Kluyveromyces lactis: one gene and its partner. The protein of the gene in region 1 interacts with the protein of each later gene in a pairwise test. Links are inferred from orthologs where the notes say so. Each region holds a gene or a part of one and is shown on either strand. Other genes may lie near its edges.

The links.
Region 2: the proteins of SDS22 (region 1) and YPI1 interact in binary tests that used the Saccharomyces cerevisiae proteins (3 or more experiments, as listed by UniProt). The link is inferred for Kluyveromyces lactis from reciprocal best matches to the Saccharomyces cerevisiae genes SDS22 and YPI1.

Annotation. Positions count from the first base shown.
Region 1 is NC_006040.1:237,326-240,746, reverse strand, and holds SDS22 (type 1 protein phosphatase-activating protein SDS22), read left to right. Parts: upstream 1-1,608; coding exon 1,609-2,697; downstream 2,698-3,421. Other genes in the region: guanine nucleotide exchange factor DCK1, read left to right, coding at 1-550; ACP1 (acyl carrier protein), read left to right, coding at 867-1,232; KLLA0_D02794g (putative alanine--tRNA ligase), read left to right, coding at 2,901-3,421. UniProt on the Saccharomyces cerevisiae protein: Regulator of the mitotic function of yeast type 1 protein phosphatase.
Region 2 is NC_006041.1:1,251,709-1,254,467, reverse strand, and holds YPI1 (type 1 protein phosphatase-activating protein YPI1), read right to left. Parts: upstream 971-2,759; coding exon 503-970; downstream 1-502. Other genes in the region: linker nucleoporin NIC96, read left to right, coding at 1-255; proteasome regulatory particle lid subunit RPN11, read left to right, coding at 1,653-2,588; mRNA splicing protein SAD1, read right to left, coding at 2,701-2,759.

The DNA of each region.
Region 1 (3,421 bases):
AGGTACCATTGATGCACCTATTAACGGTGGTATTGCAGAGTATCGTGTATTCTATACGGATGAAGAAACCAAATCGAAACTAGATCCTGCTGATGTGGAATTATTAGTTGCTGCGTTCAACGAATTGACCATTGTCCTAAACCGTTGTCTCGCACTACACGGACAGCTGTGTCCAATCAGCTTAAGCAAGTCACATACGCTTTTGAAGGACTTATTCGCCAAGAATTTCGAAAAAGAGATCAAAGTTAGCGGAATCGATATCAACGAGACCAACGACGAAATAATCGCAAGAATAAAATCAATCCAGTCATCTCAGCAAAGTTTTTCCAAGAGAAGTAGTATGCTAATGTCAAGATCCATATTCTCAGAGAGCCACTCTATCAGATCTGCTGGAAGTAACGGAAGTGCAACAAAAAACAGTATGCATGATCTCACCGTTACCTCTTCCCATAGAACTACAAAAAGCAACGCGCCATCTCACGCAGCGTCACATGCTACGAGAATATCTCGTCCTACCACACATATCAGCATGCTAAGAAGCACAAGATAGCATAGAATAACTTTCTCCCACTGCAACTGTTCTAATTCTCACCTCATGTAGTCTATATAACAATCCAAATACATTTAGGAAAACATCAAAACGTACGGAGTGATTTATGTGCCTAAGCAATTTTTCCCGGTAAAAAATCGATCAAAAGCCAATTCTTTGCAGAGAGAGAGTTTGGATTAAACCTTTCTACCACAACTATTTTCAACGATCATTTGTTGTACATTCTTTTTATTTTACATTCGATTATTTCAGATCGTTGTTACTGTACAGTATAGTGTCTAGTGATATTACAGAGAGATAAAGAAGGAAAGCAAAGATGTTTAGAAGTGTATTCCGTGCTGCCCCAAGTTTGACCAGAGTTTCTGGATTGAGAAGCGGATTTGTAAAGCCAACTTTTTCAAGTGCTTCCAGGTTCTATGCTTCTTCTTCTCTATCCAAAGAAGAAATCACAACCCGTATTGCTGATGTGATTAAATCTTTTGATAAGACAGCTTCTGCTACTTCGATTACTGCTAACACTCAATTTTCCAAGGATTTAGGATTAGACTCATTGGATACCGTTGAATTGTTGGTTTCCATTGAGGAAGAATTCGATATCGAATTCCCAGATAAGGTTGCAGATGAGCTCAAGTCTGTCGGTGAAACTGTGGAATACATCGCTTCCAGCCCGGAAGCTAACTAAGCAATTGGGATCCGAAACGTTGCCCTTCGGTTTTACCAGAATTTAATGTGGAAGAATGTACATATATTGACACACATATATAACTTATAATGAAAGATAAGATAGTTTTGATGAACTGTTTCATGGCCAAAGTGCTATATGTAAACGTCTATTTGTATATCCTTATTACTCCATATGTTTGAACTTGATTTCCATCGGGTCATATGATTTGTAATTCAAACATTTTTCCTTGCGCCCAATGATCACTGAGTTCAATTTTTAAGGTTATGTAACATGCAAACCACATCTTTAGACAGACGGTTGTTGAGGTAAAGACAATGGTTATAAACGCCATTTAGTATTAGATCCGAACCCATATACTTCCAATATATAAAAAATGAGCCGTGAAGAGAGAGTTTTGAGTGATACTGATAATGAAAATACGAATGAGGAAATAGAGACTGGTATTGATTCCCCGGACGAATCATCTTCAGGGTTGTTCACAGCGGGACGCTCGTTACAATCGAACGTCATAGAAGACCACAACCCTGACTATATATCTGCAGATGCAGAATTGGCCGCAGAGATACCAGATGACACCGAAGTAATTGACTTAGTGCATTTGAAAGTACTGGCGTTGGAAGACTTGAATTTGTTGAGATTTAAGAATTTGAAGAAGTTATATTTAAGACAGAATTTGATCGAGTCAATAGCTGAACTGGAGGTACTACCGTTAGAAAACATGGAAGAGATTGATTTTTACGATAATAGAATCAAACACATCTCGAAAAGCGTTAATCTTTTCTCTAATCTAAAGACACTCGACTTATCTTTTAATAAGATTAGAACTATCAAGAACGTCGATAAATTGGTAAACCTCGAGAATTTGTATTTCGTCCAGAATAAGATATCTAAGATTGAAAATTTAGGAACCCTTACAAAGTTGAAAAATCTTGAGCTTGGTGGCAACAGAATCAAAGAAATTGGTCCTGATGACTTGAAAGGTTTGGCTAATCTCGAAGAGATATGGTTGGGTAAGAACTCAATCCCTAAATTGATAAACTTGCAACACCTCAAAAATTTGAGAATATTAAGCATCCAATCTAACAAATTGAAGAAATTTGAAGGACTTGAGGAGTTGGAGAACTTAGAAGAATTGTATGTCTCTCACAATTTTATTTCGAAGATCGAAGGACTTGAAAATAACCTAAAATTAACTACTTTAGATGTAACTGGTAATAGACTTACGAAGATCGAAAACTTAAAGCATTTGACACATCTTACTGACCTATGGGCGTCTGATAATCAAATTGATCAACCGTTCGAATCTCTAGGCGAAGAATTGGGGAAATTACCTGAATTTGAAACGATATATCTCGAAGGAAATCCAATACAGACTAAAAATCCTACACAGTACAGAAGAAAGATTATGTTGAATTTGGGGGAATCGCTTCAAAAAATCGACGCTACGTACGTTCGTGCCTAATTAAATAAATATACGCTACGCACTTCTATTGAATGAGCAGTTAACCAGTATTTGCTGCTTTTCCCTCAGTTATATATATGTATGTACATATCTAGCACAAACAACAGAACATCATTTACTAATCAATATTTTAACCAACTTACATCATTGATAAGAAGAGAGGAAAAAAGGAACTTAAAACATGTTAGTCGGCATAAAAGCTGATGGTAAGAGGCATAAAATTGGTCGGAACGTTAGCCATGGTTAAAACTGCAAACCACACTTTTGTTGGTTCTCTAGCCTGCCAACGAGACTCATTTAAGGCCAAAGAATTTGAGACTACTGTAATTGCATGCGATGTAGGTAAGAAGAAGAATACCTTTGAGATCGAACTTCAGGATACTATCTTGTTTCCAGAAGGTGGCGGACAACCTAGTGACTCTGGGAAATTCCTTCTCAAAACTGGGGCCTCAATTCCTGTCTCCTCAGTATTCAGAAGAGGACTGCATGCAGTTCATATCACTGATAGGGATGTTCCAGTCGGAGCTAAAGTGTCTGTTGAAATTGATTGGGATAAGAGATTGGACTATATGCAGCAACATACGGGACAGCACTTGGTAAGTGCAATTCTTGAACAGAAGTGGGGGTTGAAAACCCTCTCTTGGTCTATGGGGGGTATTCCAAGTGAGAAGAAACCAAAGATTGAACCGTATGATCTGTTCAACTATTTGGAGATTAATAGGAG
Region 2 (2,759 bases), on another chromosome or scaffold:
AGAGCACAAGAATTTACACATTTGGATGAGAATATATTAAAGAACATACCTAACCTGTTGATAATTACAATGCTATGCATTTCTAACATCATAAAGCAGTTGAACGAAAGTGATTACCAATCTTTGACTAAAAAGCAGCAAATCGATTCTCTCAAACGTGTTGCTAAAAATTGTATGATTTATGCTGGTATGATTCAATACAAAATGCCAAGAGAAACTTACAGCATATTAATCAATATAGAAGTTGGTTTGTAGCAGAGCTCTCATTTATGAGCACCTGAGTTATGTCAGAACCCAGACGTCCTACCATAATAGCATACAATAAAATAACCATGTGTAAGTCGATTGTTATTCGATATAATTGCCTGATAGATTATATATGCATATGTATATATATACATTTGAACTGCCAATTACCTTTTCAGCAGTGCATTGTTGTAGTGAGTAGAAGATGCAACGAAATGTACAAGAAGTGAAAGAGTATGCTGATCAAATTCCTAAATCATTGAGCGTCTTTTCTGTTCTTATCTCTATAAGCGCTGTAATCTGGCTGGACTTCGTATGCATTCGGACTTGGTGGACGTTTTTGCTCAAGCTTTTTTCTCCGCCTTTCGAGTCTTGCCTTTCTTCTTTCGTCAAAGCTTTTTCCCTCATCCTCGTCTGAAGAAGACGAAGATGATGAAGACGATGAATCATGTCCATGATTATGATCGTGCTCGCACTCTCCTTCCTCTTCTTCATCACTCTCTAATGGGGTATTAGGATGGAAAATGCAACAAATCTTAGTTTTCTTCTTGTTCATGTTCTCATTATCTATTACTTTCTCATCCCATCTTACTTTAGACTTGGTGTCCTTCTTCTTAGTTTTGTTTTTCTCATTCTGGCCAGCACGCAATTGAAGCAGCTGCGGAACCTCCGTAACAGTGACGGTATGCGTTCCTTCAGGAAGAGCAGAAGGTCCTTCACTCATATGTTAGGAAATATTTCAAAGTTTAATTATGATGATGGATCAAACTGATAAAAAAAGCGTGACGATAGGTAAAGTTTTCCTGTCTAAGTCTTGATAATCTTTCGTAATTTCACTTATCAAAGGACTGGGAACAAAGTATGAATAATGTAAGAAATCGTTTCCTATTTCTAAAATCTTCGGCGTCAATAAAACGGAATATTTTCTTCAACAAGTCGTGCTCTCGAGTATTTGACTGTACTAGACCATGGAGCTTCGCTTTGTATATGAGATATCCATGTATGCATAGAAGTACTCCAGTCTCATCTCATTTTTAAAGGGAAGAAAGAGGTTAAATATCTGAAGGTCAGAAAGTGGTGATGTTCGTTAATAATGACTACTAAATCCATAAGCCAAAAGAAAGATCGTAACTTTGTAATGCAGTGGCAAACAGTTTACAATTGATAAAGGTATAAGCAGATAATTCGTCAAGAATTCTCATCTCTGTACGTGTGGTATCCATAAGTCATTATTAGCAGTATTAGATACACAGTAATTGAAATCTACAAGACAATTGCATACTTCTCAGGAAAGAATAAGAATTTCAATTTGTTGGTACTTTATTAAGGAAGTATTATATCAAGAAACAGAACGCTGATACAAAAGCCAATTTATCGTCTCCGCAATTCAAATCCTTCAACAAAAGATGGAAAGTTTACAAAGAATGATGATGTCTCAAAGAGCAGGCATGATGGGTGCCAATGCCACCGAGGTTCCCCTTGATGACACCAAGGAAACTGTGTACATTTCTTCTCTTGCATTGTTGAAGATGTTGAAACATGGGAGAGCTGGTGTTCCAATGGAAGTCATGGGTCTTATGTTGGGAGAATTTGTTGATGATTATACAGTAAACGTTGTCGATGTGTTTGCCATGCCTCAGTCAGGTACAGGTGTTTCTGTCGAGGCTGTTGATGATGTTTTTCAAGCTAAGATGATGGATATGTTAAAACAAACAGGAAGAGATCAAATGGTTGTCGGATGGTACCATTCACATCCGGGTTTTGGTTGTTGGTTATCTTCAGTAGATGTGAATACTCAGAAATCATTTGAACAATTAAACAGCAGGGCTGTGGCGGTGGTTGTTGATCCTATTCAATCGGTGAAGGGTAAAGTGGTCATTGATGCATTCAGACTAATTGACCCTTCTACTGTCATGAGAAACCAGGAACCAAGGCAAAATACTTCTAATATCGGGTTGATCAACAAACCGAATATTCAAGCGTTGATTCATGGTCTAAATAGGCATTATTACTCGCTTAATATCGATTATCACAAGACTTCCGCCGAAATGAACATGTTAATGAATCTACATAAGGAACAATGGCAATCGGGACTAAAAATGCATGATTTCAAGGAAAGAGAGGAGCACAACTTGGGTGAAACTCAGAAAATGATTAAGATCGCTGAACAATTCACTAAGAGAATTGAGGAAGAGAGAGAATTGAGTGAAGAAGAATTGAAAACGCGTTATGTAGGAAAACAGGATCCAAAAAGACATCTTGCAGAGACTGCTGAAAAGCTCTTGGAAGACAATATAGTATCTGTATTAACAGCGGGTGTTAACTCTGTTGCTATTAAATAACCATCTTACATACAGTAAAAATACATCAACTTCAATTTGCGAGATAAGTTTTAGCCGATGAAATGATGAATCGATCCAAGAGTGTAGATAATCTGAATAACGAAAGCAGTTTCTAAACGCGTTGCCATATTTGAATGTAACATTCTTTAAGGAAAAGAAACTCTTTCTCAA